Linked DNA regions of Tamandua tetradactyla. The protein of the gene in region 2 purifies or fractionates together with the protein of the main gene of each other region. This does not show direct contact. Links are inferred from orthologs where the notes say so. Each region holds a gene or a part of one and is shown on either strand. Other genes may lie near its edges.

What was found.
Region 1: the proteins of MTHFD2 (region 2) and HRAS purify together in Homo sapiens (co-immunoprecipitation; 4 studies listed by BioGRID and IntAct, with this or other methods). This does not show direct contact. The link is inferred for Tamandua tetradactyla from reciprocal best matches to the Homo sapiens genes MTHFD2 and HRAS.

The regions. Positions count from the first base shown.
Region 1 is NC_135335.1:395,759-402,695, forward strand, and holds the start of HRAS (GTPase HRas), read right to left. Parts: upstream 3,010-6,937; 5' UTR 2,930-3,009; intron 1,767-2,929; exon of another isoform or gene 1,670-1,766; intron 1,536-1,669; exon of another isoform or gene 1,464-1,535; intron 1,314-1,463; exon of another isoform or gene 1,226-1,313; intron 118-1,225; exon of another isoform or gene 1-117. Other genes in the region: LRRC56 (leucine-rich repeat-containing protein 56), read left to right, coding at 6,056-6,220. UniProt on the Homo sapiens protein: Involved in the activation of Ras protein signal transduction. Ras proteins bind GDP/GTP and possess intrinsic GTPase activity.
Region 2 is NC_135343.1:48,071,786-48,079,206, reverse strand, and holds the start of MTHFD2 (bifunctional methylenetetrahydrofolate dehydrogenase/cyclohydrolase, mitochondrial), read right to left. Parts: upstream 3,008-7,421; 5' UTR 2,985-3,007; coding exon 2,692-2,984; intron 1-2,691. UniProt on the Homo sapiens protein: Although its dehydrogenase activity is NAD-specific, it can also utilize NADP at a reduced efficiency.

The DNA of each region.
Region 1 (6,937 bases), on a different chromosome or scaffold from region 2:
AGTACTTAAGAAACCCCTCAAGAGTAAGGGAACAGTCAGAACTGAGGCACTGCCTTGAACCCCACATATACCCCCAATGGCACACACGTGTCAGCCTGTACCATCACTTGAACCCTGAGGCTCCTTAGCACCCCCACTCAAACCCTGAGCCTCCTCTCCACCCCCACCCAAACCCCAAGGCTCCCCTGCACCCCTACCCGAACCCCGAGGCTCCCCTGCACCCCCACCCGAAACCCGAAGCTCACCTGTACCCCCACCAGAACGGAGAGGCTCACCTAATCCCCCCACCAAGACCCTGAGGCTCACCTGAACCCCTACCCGAACTTTGAGGCTCCCCTGCACCCCCACTCAACCCCCAACGCTCACCTGCACGTCCACCCGATGGCCAAGTCTCCCATGGACCCCCACCTGAACCCCGAGGCTCCCTTGCACCCCTATCTGACCCTGAGGTTCCCTTGTACCCCCACCTGAACTCTGAGGCTCCCCTGTACCCCACCCAAACCCGGAGGTTCACATGCACCCCCACCCAAACCCTGAGGCTCCTCTGCACCCCTACTTGAACGTGGAGGCTCCCTTGCACCCCAACCCAACGATCCCTTTCACCCCCAAGCGAACTCTGAGGCTGCCCTGCACCACCACCTGAAGCCTGAGCTTCAGTCACCTGAACACCCACCAGAACCCGGAGGCTCACCTAAACCCCCACCCGAATCCCAAGGCTCAACTGAACCCCTACCCGAACCCTGAGGCTCTGTTGCACCCCCACCCAAACCCTGAAGCTCCCCTGCACCCCACCCGAACCTCGAGGCTCACCTGTATCCCATCCAAACCCGGAGGCTCACCTGAACCCCATCCGAACCCCGAGGCTCCCCTGTACCTCCACCCAAACCCCGAGGTTCCCTTGTACCCCCACCTGAACCCCGAGACTCACCTGAACCCCACCCGAACTCCGACGCTCCCCTGTACCCCCATATGAACCCCGAGACTCACCTGAACCCCACCCAAACCCCGAGGCTCCCCTGTACCCCCACCCAAACCCCGAGGCTCCCTTCCACAGCCAAGCGAACCCCGAGGCTACCCTGCATCGCCACGTGAAGCCCGAGGCTCACCTGTACACCTAGTAGAACCCGGAGGCTCACCTAAACCCCCACCAGAATCCCGAGGATCACCTGAACCCCACCCGAACCCCAAGGCTCCCTTGCACCCCCACCCAAACCCCGACACTCACCTGCACCCCCACCCGAACTCGAGGCTCACTTGTATCCCTAACCGAACTCCGATTTCCCCTGCAACCCCCCAAATCCCGAGGCTCCCCTGCATCCCCTCTCGAACTACGAGGCTCCCCTGCAGCCCCCACTCGAACCCCAAGGCTCCCCCGCAGCCTTCACCCTAACCCCGAGGCACCCATCTACTCCCACTCGAATCCCGAGGTTCCCCTGCACCCCTTCCTGAACCCCGAGGCTCACCTGTACCCCCACCCACCGCCGCAGCCTCCCAGACCGAGAACTAGCAAGTTGGCCTCCCGCCCTCGGCGAGGTGGGGCGCGGCTCCCGCCGCACTCCCCGCCGCCCCCGCCCGCTGCTCGGGGGAAGCGCCTGCGCCTCGGAGGGGGAGGGGCGCCAGGCCCACGCCACCGCGCGCCGCGGCCCCCTGGCCCTCGCCTGCCACTCACCGCCCACTGACGCGTCTGCCCCCGGGGCCGGGGCGGAGGCTGGGGCCGGGGCGGGAACGCGACGCGCCCCGCGCATGGGATCCCTCCGCGGCGGGTGCGGCTCCGGCTGCGGGAGGCGCGGACGGCGTCGGCGTCGACTCGGCCGGGCACACGAACGCCCCGCCCTGCGTCCGTCCGTCATCCCGCAGCGGCCCACTACTGGCTCGCCCGGCAAGATCCCGCCCCGCGTCGGTCCGTCCACTAGACGCGGCCTACCATTGGTCCGCACGTCCCTGCCCCGCCCCAAGGCCGCCTCCGCCCTGACCGCGCTTCGGTTGGCTGAACGGCCCGTCGGTCAAACCGCGGCTGGGCGGGACTTCCTGGAGCGGCGCGGAGGGCGGGGCCGAGCTCCAGTGGTGTTCGTGGGCGTGGGCGTGGGCGTGGGCGTGGGTCGCACTCGTAGCGGGGTCTCGGGGTCGTGGAGGGTTAGGGAGCCGGACTCCGCGGGCGCGGGAGAGCGAGGGCGGCGGAAGGACGAGTCTCTGCGGTCCAGGCGGCCCCGCCCCGCAGCCGTGCCCGGGGTCGGGGGACGAGTCTCGGCGCGCGCTCTTGCCTACGCTGGCCCTTGCTTCGCACTTTCCTGTCTCCCGCTGCCCCCAGCCCCAGCCCGGCCCTGCCGACGCCTCCGCCCACGCAGCTCCCCGCACCCCCGGCTGCGCCTCTGCGGCCCGCGGGGCTCACGGCACACCCGATTCCGGCGCCTGGGCACGTCCAACCCGAACAGCTGCCCCGGGGGGCGAACGGACAAGATTCCCGCAAGCGCAAGCGCGCGTTCTTTTTTACGATTCAAATAGAAACTTTAAACGTATTCTAAAACGTTGGGGTCCTGCACGAATACACCCTACTTCTTTCAGCAAAAAAGGGGAAGGACTGCGGAGGGGCTTCCCGTCCCGCCGCCCTCCCAGCGCACAGGAGCCGCTGACGTCTCGGCCGAGGCCCCAGGGCGCACACCGCGGGCCACTCTCTCCACCCCGGCCTGGCCCCTCCCGCGCACGGCCGCGTCCCCCGCGTCGCGACCTTGGCCCTACCCACCCGCGCTGCGGGGCGTGGAGCCAGTTTCGGGGGAGCGCCGGTGTACGCGGGGGCGCATGGGCGCTCCGGGGTGCGGTCTGGGTTTCTCTCGGATAGGAGGGTCCTTTCCCCGCCGCGCCCCCTCTCGTCGCGTTGCTCGCACTGCGCGGCGGAAGGTAAATCCCGGGGGATCTCGGGCGACCTGCCCACCTGGGAGAGAGGGGCGCGCGAGCCTCCCGGTTCCCCTCCAACCGATGGCGACTCCCTTCCCACCCCGCTCCCCCGCGGGCGCGCGGGGCACAGAGCCTGGGGGAGGGCTCCCACGCGTGTACCGGGCCGCGCAGGGTCGCGACCACTGCCCCGGCCCGGCGGGCCCTAGCAACCGCTCCTGGGGGCGTGGCTCAGCCGCGGGCTCCGCGGCGGGGGATCCCCGCGGCTTAGGCTTGGTGGCGTGTGGCCCCGCCCCCGTTGCCATGGAGCCCGGGCCCGCAACCCCCGGGCGGAAGAACAGCCCGACTCCCCGAAAGCCCCGCGGTGGGGGCATCCCCAGGTGAGAGCCGAGGGCGCCCTCGGACCGGACCTCAGGCCTCGCCCCTGCGCGACGCCGAGGGGCGCGAGTAGGACGCAGTGTCCTGGTGGGGCCGGCATTAGTCCCTAGGGTCACGGTGGGGGGGGGCGGTCAGGTCTTCCCTGAGAGGGAGAGACAAAGGCTGGGGCCCAGATTCTGTTCTGGGGGTCTCCATGGGGGGCGCACATGAGAGAGACCAGGGCGGGACGGGGGCACATTGGGCGGCGCTCGGCCTCTTCCGGCCAGAGGCGCCCGCGGAAGCATAGCACCCTGGCCCGTGCCCTTCCCATCACCCTGGGCTGGCGTCGGGGTGGGGGGGCGGGTTAGGTGGGCAGCACCATCCCAAGGGGATGCCAGGGAGGGGGTCACACTGGGAGCCCGGGAGTAGTGAGAGATCTGGTCACTCTGCTTGCGGATCACCAGAATTGCCTCCAACCAAGGCGGCCAGCCGGGACTGCGCCGCGCCTCCGCCCTCCCGCCCTCCCAGCTGCGTGCTGGGCCAAGCCCGCCACGGAGGGTCCGCTGAGCGTGTGGGGTCTGGTCCCATTCTGCCGCCCTGCTGTTGGTCCCTCGCTGTGTGCACCTCCTGCCCGCTGCCCCCTGCTCCCGGACCCGGCCACCCACAGGAACTTCGGTGGCAGCGGCAGCTATGCACTGGCCCGCAGAGCAGAGCCAGGTTGCTGTTCTACCAGACCTCCCTGTTGCACCCCAAGTCCCAGCTCGTACACCTCACTCACGCTCTTTGTGCCGCCATGGCCCGGGCATCCGCGCTGACGAGAGGGGAGGAGGCCCAGGGCCTTGGGAGGCGGGGTCCTCAGCCGGTGGCTGGGTAAGGCCGTGGGAGCTCAGCGCTGGGGGAAGCACCACGCAGGAGGGGCCAGGCCGGGTGGGGACAGCGGCCCCGGGTCATCAGGAGAGGGCGGGAGGCGGGACGGGCGGTGAAGGGGCCCAGAGCGAATGGATAATGCAGGGGCTAAACCACGTGGATGCCCCCACCCACTCGCGGAGCCTGCACCCCCAAAACTGGCCCTGGCCACATGGTCTCTTGGACAGGGGCCTCGTGTGGGGACTGAGGGGCAATGAGGAGGTGCTGGAAGGGGGTCTGGGGTTGGCGCCCCGGGTGGGGTGGGAGGGTCGGGCGGGGTCTGCAGGGCCTTTGCGGGGGCGGGAAGCCCCCTGCTTTCCAGGGCGCAGTCACCGGCACCCAGACGTCGCCCTTTCAGCACACAGTTCAGCTCTTTGTACCTGACTTTCAGGAAATTTTTGAAGAAATCTCAGTTGCAAAGATGTAGTTATAAGATTTGTCTTTTGAGCGTTCGACGATGGCGAAATAGATGTATTTTGCAACACCCATCAAAAAGGGCAATTCGTTCCTTTATTTAGCAGATGTTTGTTGAGCACCTGCTGGGCGGGGGGGGGGGGGGGGGGGCGCTACAGAAACTTCCAGGCCGCCGGCGCCCCCTGCGCCCCGCCCCCCGACGCAGGGCCGCGGCCGGGGGTCTTGGCTGCTCAGCCCGCGTCCGGGGAGGGGCTGCCGGTGAGGACCACCCGGACCCCAGGCCCGAGGGCGCGGCCCCTTGCGTTCTCCCATTCACCGGCTGTTCACGCGCCCCCTCAGGCGCGCCTGCTTGATGCGGGGCCGCGCGTGGGTGCGGGGAGCAGGCCACACCCCACAGGCTGAGACCCGGGCGCAGGCCCCGAAGGGTGGGGAGGGCTCGGAGCGGGCAGACCCCAGGCCAGCGGGTCCCAGCAGGGTGTGGAGGAAAGGGGCTTGGGAGAGGGGTGGGGATTCACCTGGGGGCCCAGAGAGCCCGTGCAGCAGTGACTTGCTCCATGGGCCTGCCTGGCTCCTTCTCCTCTTAGCCCCAGCGGGGTGAGGAGGGCCACGGGTCGGCAGCGACCCTCACACCCGCGGGCAGGAGGCGGGGGCACCCCTTGGGCCTGGGTCGCAGCTTCTCTCTCCTGCAGGTGCTGCCTGAGGCCCCCCGGCTGGATGTCTGACTCATGCAGGAGAAGGCAGCTGCCCGCAGGTACAGATCTCCACTGCACAGGGCAGCGCTGGGGTGCCAAGGGGGATGGTGGCAGTGCCTGGGGCTCTGCTCCTGGGCCTAGGGTTCAGGACCATCGGGTGGAGCCTGTTTAGGTGCTCAATTGCTAGTCGTGGGCAGCCGTGGAACCCGCCCCCACAGGCTCACAGACCCCCAGAAGCAGCCCCCAGTCTCACAGCACCCCAAGGTCACAGCTCCCCAGAGTCACAGTCCCCCAGCCTCCCCCGCCCCCAAGATCACAGTTCTCTAGCCTCGCAGTACCCCAAGGTCACAGCCTCACAGCCCCCATCCTTGCAGCTCCCCAGGCTTAGATGGGGGAGAGAGCTGTGGAGCGAAGCCCCTTGCTTGGGCCGTGTGTGTGTGTGTGTGTGTGTGTGTGTGTGTGTGTGTGTGTGTGTGTGTGTGTGTGTGTGTGTGTGTGTGTGTGTGTGTGTGTGTGTGTGTGAGACCCCAGAGCCAGAGAGGCTGGAGCGTTCCGGGAGGCCGATCGCCTGGGGCAGCCTTGGCGGGGACAGGGTATGAGCTGGGTTGGCTGAGGCTGCAGTTGTTGCATCAGTCGGGTCCCCAGGGTGGGAGGGGACCCTGATGCTGCGTGTGCTGGGCGGCCGGTCCCACCATCGGGCACAGGGCTGGGGAACAGCCCAGGGGCCGGTGGGAGGTGGGCTGCGGACCCCGGCGTGCCCAGCTTGCGCTCTGCTCCTCCCGCCAGGTGGGATGTGAATGGAGCCCGCCTGGGACACAGCCGGGGGGCCTCGGCCCCGCACGCCCAGCATCCGCGTGTGGGAGCTGAGCTGGCCGGGCCCGCAGAACCCCTGCCCACCCAGCGAGGGCGCAGACGGCCGCAATGGGCCGTTGCTGGAGGAAGGCCTGTCCCCCACCCGGCTGGTGAGTGCCGGGGCCTGGGGCCGCAGGAGGGTGGAGCCTGGGGACCCTCTGCACAGCGCAGGGCACGGACGGCTGAAGCGGCCGCGGGCGGGGTGTCCAGCAGGGCTAGGGGTGGCTGAGCGCAGAGTGGGTGTCTCGGGAAGGAGCCCCTCCACTGCCTCACAGGCCCTGTGACGTGGGACAGGCAGGTGGGGCTCTGCTGGATGTGGGGTAGGGTGCTAGGGGCCCCAAGCGGCCTGGTGGGCAGGTGGAAACCTCAGACCCTGCAGCCCCCGGAGGCAGGGCGGACAGGGCCCCACCTGACCGATATGGGGCAGGGCCACAGGCCTTTCTCAGTGCCACCCCGCACTGCCCAGGACCGCCGAATGTGCACCCCCAGGCTGCCTTTCCCCTCACCTGCCAATCCCTGTCCCCCACAAGCCCGGCTGCCCCCCCATAGCTCCCAGGCCACCCCCTCACCCGCCCGCACCCCCAGCCACCCAGTGTCCCCACTGGGCCCTGTGGAGGTCCCGAGCTGGCAGGCAGTCCCCTCCCACCCAGCACCTGCCCCCGAGGGTCCTGCATGCAGGGGTGGTGGGGGCTCCAGGCCCTGGGGACCCTGTGCCTGCCCCAGGGACGTGCGAGCCTGATGGGGAGGTCCCAGCCCCAGGGAAGGGGTGCCTGGGGATAGGCCCAGCAGTGGGGGCGCTGTGAGTGGAGGGACCGGAATGGAGCTGG
Region 2 (7,421 bases):
GTTAAGGACAGAGGGTTCTAAAAGAACATGGTGTTCCAAGTCCCAATCTGAGCTTCCAAAGGCAGGTTCTAGATGTTATGCCAATTTTCTTTAAAAAAAAAAAAAAAAAGAGAGAGAAACTGCCCAAAAGTAACAAAAGTCAAAAAACAAAGCCATAATACAAATAATACTCTTCATGATGGCTGCATTTCCACCCTCCTCTGCAAAATGATGAGAGTGAGTCAGTACCTAACTTTCCCTCATCTCTTTTGCCAAGAGGTAGATAAAGTAACTGCTACTGCAAAGTAAACAGGGACATGGAGACTTGGTTCATTCCCAAAGGGAATCTAAAAATTATAACTACGTCAGCTAACATTTATTTAGGAATTAGGTGGTTTCAGAGATGTGCTTAGAAAATTTTCCATTAAAATGAGTCAACAGACCAGAAAGAAGAGGAATGTTCAAATAAAGTTCAGAATCAAAATCCCAGTCAGTAGCCTCTTCACTTTCCTCCCAGTTTAATAGCTGACAGTATTGTAATTTTCCATGAGAAATTAATAGAAGCATTTTACAATTCATGATCAAGTTATTTGGGGAAGAGCGCTGTTATCTTCTAGTTGCTGGAACCAGTAATAAGCGAAGAAAGATGCAAAGGGGGATGGAACTCACATCTATCAAACACTAGGTATTTTGCTAAGAGTTTTCTACATAAATTATTCTCACCACCCTCCTAGAGCTATTATAATAACAGAGGATGGTAGAACAAAATTCAAACTCAAACCTCTGCCTCCAAAGTTCATTTTTCCCGATAGGCCACAGTCTCCTAGGCAATAGGTTTATGTTCTTGAAACTTACAATATGAAAAACCCTTGCACTGCCCTTAGGCTGAGACATAATAAATCACCATGGTACATCATGTAAAGCATTGCATGATATATTCTTGATGTGCTGAGAAATCTCATTGCCACGCGGAGACTGACACCCCTGAAGTAACACACAACTGCTTTACAAAAGCTGGTCGTGGAACCAGTGACTGTTCTAATGAACGGGGCAGGCTATATGATAACTGACCGCCATTAGCTGCCCCAAACTCAAGATGGTTTTGTAGATATTGATACCATCTTAGCTCCCTCTGCTGATGTTGAATTTCAAACAAAAACAGATACCTTTGACATAGGTCTATTATGAGCACAAAAGAACGGGAAGAAAAGTTGCCAAAGTTTGAACATCCCAGGAGAAAAGAAGCTTAACAGCACTGGCAAACAGTGATGGGTGATAAATTGCAACAGTCAGAATTTTGTCTCCAAAGCAACTGAGTTACTAAACATGTTTGTGAACTACAAAAGAACCATCAGGATTCAATCTAATGTTAAACCGAAAGTAAAACCAGGATCATTTAAAATATGCCTTAGAGTTCCATGTGATATATGTGCCTTATTTAGCCCAACAGACATTTCTAGACCTTTCTCGCCTCTGCCTCTTACAGGTTTTGTAAACTCTGACAATGCCAAGGGATCCCTTCTCTGTACAATCAGGAGATTGGATCAGATGATTACTGAACTGTCAGTTCTGTAATGTCAGATTTGGTAGCAATGCACAAACTAAAATGTCACCTGACATATTAAATCAACAGAGAAAAAGACTATTCTTCAAAAACTTGATGTTACCACACTTGAATTTGAAAATTATAAAGACAGCTGTCTAAATGATTCTACTTCCACTTTAGTGTATACCCCCAGAAAGAAACATTTTCTTTGAAAAGCACCCAACACTTTTTTACAACTATGTATTAATTTATCACCAGGATAAATGGTTAGCATGCTAAATAAATCAGATAACTTTTTTTAAAAAACCTTTGCACCAACCTAAAATAAAGGGAATACAGGCAGACTCATATTTTGCTTTAAGTTATCAGTGTCACATTCATGTAAACAGCAGTAATCAAAGCAGCACATCCTAACAATATAGAATGTAGATAGCAGTGCAGATAACAGTTTTGCCTTGAGAGATGTAGAAGCTTACTTTTTCATTCAGAAAAGTAAGCAAAAGGAGAGCATCTGTTATTTGGGAATGTGAGCAAACAGGATGGTGTCCTTTACACAAGAAGGCTCTCCATAAACCTCGTATCTTCCATGAAAGCCTAAGAGCAGTCTGGCCCAAAGGCTCATCTGGCCACTGCGCATGAAGGGGCTAGAACCAAGGGGCAGTAATGAAAGAAGGGACTGGAAAGGCAGGTCAGGGTGGGTCCAAGGAAAACGTGAATGCCTCTCCAGTCTTCCTTAAGAATGTATCAACCCTCCTTCTGCGTTCCAATAGCATCTTGGAAATCTCTGTCAGCACTTTTCACACTGAGTGGAAGTTATATCCGTGTTCGCCCCCTTGACAGATATCTGCGTTCCACTAAAGAGAAAGCAGCTTTGACCCATCTCTGAATTCACAGTCTACCACGGCGCCCGGCACGGAGGAAGGGCTTAGTGAACGTTTGCTGATAACAAGACTAAGACTTAGGACTCTGGCAATGCGAGGGCTCTAAACGTTGACAGAGTGTGCACAGATTTGGGGAGAGAAATCACAGAGCCCCAAAAGGAGTCTTCAACCTAGGCTCAAGAATGACAGTTTGGGGTCCAAAAAAATCAGGGAAAACCTATTGCCTGCCCACGGAAATGCAGACAGAGCTTCGCCTCGCCTCGCCTTCTCCCCCGAGGGTATCACCTGGACTTACGCTGGGCGCTGCCCAGCTCGGCGTGGCGACTGCAGTCAGAGTCCCGGTGACGACAATACATGTCTTCTTTCCCGAGGCAGAAGGGAAGTGCGGGTACCCAGCCAGCAAGCCGGCGCGGGGATTTCGTCAGCCTGCACCAATCCCCTCCGCCGCTAGGGTCCCGGGAAAGCGGGTCATAAGGAGCCCTCCACGCCCTGGGCCAAGGGTCTGCTTGGCGTCCCCCAAGGCCCCTCTCGGCATCGCGGCCGCTGGCGGCCCGCAAACTCGGGCCAAACCTGGGCATCCTCGCGCGTCCCCTTGCGAACTCCGCACGGTCCGGCTGTCTCGCCGGCGATGCCCCGACCCTGGGGGGGGGGGGGGGGGCCAGGGACCAGCCCACCCCGCCGCGCGAGCGCCCGAGCCGCGCGGGCTGCGGCTGCGCCCGGCTGCCACGTCGCCCCTCTAGTCAGAGGGAAATGCCACCGCCACCCAGGGCTGGGATGCTCGGGAGGAACCGCCCCTGCATCCTCGCGGGTCCGCGCAGCCGCCTGCCTTCCGTTACCCCTGGGCTTCCCGCGCCGACCCAGCTCCTCGACCCTCTTACCGAACAGCCGAGCGACAGAAAGGGCGATGGCGGAGGCGGCAGCTCTGCGCGGGCCGGAGCAGCCCGGCTGCCAGTGTTGACACAAGACGCAGGGGAGCCATAGCCCGTGCCGCTGCGCGCGCCAGGAGAGAAATACAAGCGCGGGCCACACAGTTATACCGCGGCCGCATGGCAGGTCCCGCCTCCCGCCGACACCCATTGGTCGGTGCCCCACTCCCCTTGCAGTCTGTCGAGACTCCTGGAGCTGAAGTAGCCAATCATTTGTCTTCATTATACGTCAGCGACGTATAGTAAAGCCAGGTTTATGATCTCTTGGAGCACCTGGAACTGGGCCCAGCAAGGCTTGGAAGCCTCAGTGCCCGTCGTGATTGGCTGAGGAAGGCAAGCCCCTGCCTGACGCAGCTGGGGTCGCGGAAGTTGTGCCAAATGCCGGAGAAGGCGTTCATTCATTGAGCAAGCATCTGAGCGCCTACCGTGTGTCAGTCACTAGCGGTAAAGGGTGGTGAAAAGACAGGCAGTTAGAAAATCAACCAATAAATGTAGAAAGAATGACGGAGGTAGAAAATCACCGTTTGGCAAAATCATAGTAAAAATTGATTTAGGCAAAAATTATTCATGGATTTCAAATCAACTGGGTGCAAGTTTGCTAAGGAACAAGATATTTACTATCCAGTTGCCAGATTTAAAATATAAAAATACAAGAAGCCCTGTTAAGTTTGAATTTCTGATAAGTAATTCTGGATGGTCATACTTACACTAAAAAAGTATTCAGTGTTGCTATGAAATTGAAATTCCCCTGCGCAGCCTCTATATTATCTTGCAATCCTATTGACATGGTCTCCAAATATCTCCTCCACAAAATATTTATTAATTACACAGGGGAAAAATAATAAATTTACAGTGGAGAAATCTTAAAGCAATCAATATTAACAACACAAACATACTGTCCGTGCCTCCAGATACGATGCATTCAGGAGGACGCAGGACTTCGTAACTTTTCACAAGCATGAAAATCTGATGAAGTGATTTCTCTAAACCGTGGGTCTCCGCTAAATTGTTACAAATTTCTCATTTTCACATCAAAAGAAGAGATCATATGACCAAGAAGTTAAGATTTAACATAATTAAGGTTAATGAATCATTATATAGACATTTCTTTTTTACTTTCTAGTATATTGGAATAGCCAGAAGGAAATGCCTAAAATTACCCAACTATAACCCAACTGCCTTGATCTTTGATAATGATTGTATTACAATGTAGCCTTTATCTTGTGATTGTAAAAACCTCATGACTGACCCACATTTGTACCCCTAATTCTGTTTTTAAACTTTAGAATATTATGATCACAGAAGACAGCCCCTCACGTTTATTAATGAAGAAACTTGAATCACCCCAGCACTAACCCATCCCAATTCCTAAACAATCTTGCTCGATGAAGCTGGATCTAACCAGAATTCGTCTGCCTGAACGAATTCTTAAATTCTAAGAATTTAAGCTTAAATTCTTAGAATTTAAGAATTTAAATTTAAGCAGCTTAAATTTTAACTATAAATAAACTATCCCTCATTACAATGCTGAAAATCACGCCCATCATAGCATTAAGGCCACCATTTTCTTACATAAATTCTAAGCATATAATCTAGATCATCTCCAATTACAGCATTTAGAACCATTTTGCTCATTATCCTAAAACCTGCCCATCTTTTGATATTATAAAGCTGTCAGAGGGTGGGCCACAGTGGCTTACTGGCAGAGTTCTTGCCTGCCATGCCAGAGACCTGGGTTCGATTCCCAGTGCCTTCCCATGTTAAAAAAAAAAAAAAATTCGTCAGTGTTACTGTGGTTTGGAAAGACAGATTTTTAGGGTGATGGGCCATCTGATCTGCTTCACACTTAGCAAAAAATTCTCTCTTTGAAACCCCGGTGTCACAGGTTGGCTATTAATGTGTATTGGGCAGAGAACCCCCTGCTTTTGATTGATATCAATCACAGACCTGGAATATTTCGATTGTCCAGGAAAAAACCATATTTCTGAAATTTTGGAATATGTTAGTAGATCTCAATCTTATGAAGAAACATCAGACATGTATGTTTGGTAGATATGGAGTGTGTATTAATAAAAAGTAATAAATTACAAATAAAGATAAATCAGACAAACCCAAACTAAGACACATTCTACAAAATGAGCAGCTTGTACTCTTCAAAATGTCAAGGTCATGAAAGACAAAGAATGTGGAACTGTTCTACATTAAAGGAGACTAAAGAGACATGATGACTAACTGCAATGAGTGATTTGGGATTGGATTCTGGACCAGAAAATAGAAGTAGTTTCTCCCTCCTTCCTTCCTTCCCTCCTTGTTCCCCATCTCCTCCTCTTCCCACTTCTCTCCCTGCCCCCCACTTTGGTATCCCACCTCCTCCTTCTTCTCCTTGCTATAAAGGATATTAGGGAACAATTGCCAAAAAATGAATGAGGTCTGCAGATTAACTAAGAACATTGTACCAATGTTAATTTATGTTAATTTACTGATTTATATAATGATACTGTGACTATGTACCACAGTTGAATAAGAGACTGTATTTGTTTTTAGAGATAAAGGGACACTATCAGCAATTTACAACTTCAGATGCTTCAGAAAAAGAAAAGGACATACATAAAGAGAAACTGATAAAGCAAATGGCAAATGTAAGATAGTAGCAAATGGCAAATGTAAAATAGTAACAATCTGGGTGAACAAGTATTCTTTGAATGTCTGTAACTTTTCTGTAAATCTGAAATTATTTAAAATTTTTTTGAAAAGAAAGACTGTGCCAGTTTTAAAGGATTTTTGTACCCTAGAAAAGCCTAGGGTACAATGTTTTAATCCTAATCCCATTTGGTAAAAACAGCTACTTCTTCTAATCCCTATCCAGCACTATAGGTTGAAAACTTGATTAGGTTATCTCCAGGGACACGTGACTCAATCAATTCTGGGTCTTAAACGTGATTAGATGAAGACGTGTCTACACGCATTCCAGGTGGGTCTTGATTACTTTATGGAATCCTTTAAAAGAAGCATTTTTGGAAAAGGTTTGAGATCTGAGAGAGCCACCAGACTGACCACGACGACAAAACCATGGGAAGCAGAGAGTACAACAGCCAGCGACCTTCGGAGACGAAGAAGGAGAATGCTCCCAGGGAGCTTCATGGAGCAAGAGGCCTGGAGAAGAAGCTAACACCATGTTCGCCATGTGCCTTTCCAGTTGAGAGAAACCTTGAACTTCGTTGGCCTTTCTTGAGTGAAGGTAACCTCTTGTTAGTGCCTTAATTTGGACATTTTTATAGACTTGCTTTAATTGAGACATTTTCATGACCTGAGAACTGTAAACTTGCAACTTATTAAACTCCCCTTTTTAAAAGCTGCTCCATTTCTGTATATTGCATTTCAGCAGCTAGCAAACTAGAACAGAGATTAACAAGGCTTCTGCCTTCATGGGGCTTGGAGGTAAAGTAAACACAAAATGAACAAGAGAAGAAACAAAGGAAAAGAATATGGTCTGAGAAAACTCAAGAGAGTGGATGTGAAAGGCTGTGTAGACCTGAGAATACCCTACAAGTCCTGTGGTTGGGTACATGATGTGTCCCAGAATCTGTCTCCAGCAAGCTGTGGGGAAGAGACGCCCAGTTTTGATAGCTCTCTGGACTTTGCAGCAGAGGCTTGAAGAAGGAAAGGAACCAGACACATCCTGTTCTTAAGAAACCTAACCCTCCCACCACCTGCAGGATTCTGGAAATTCTATATTCCCAAAAGGTGAACTCTCAAAAGTAAAACCATGAGGACATTATTATATGTTTTTAATATACTTAACAAAAGAATTTGCTTCTATGCTCTCACAGTATTACATGGAAATGCCGTTTAGTTAACACACTTATTTTATGTCCTAAGTTTTAGTCCAAATTCTGTAGGTTGGGGGTGCTCAGACCCTTTTACCTTCCAACTCCAACTAGCCTTTCTGCCTACTCTTTCTTTGCCCTGCCCTCCACTAAGTATATCATGTGCCAAATGGTATTCGGTTGCCTCTGTTTTCCCAGCTGGAAATGCTCTCCTCTCTTTGCTCCCCACCGACTCTGCTACCCAAGGCTGCACCCCCTCCCC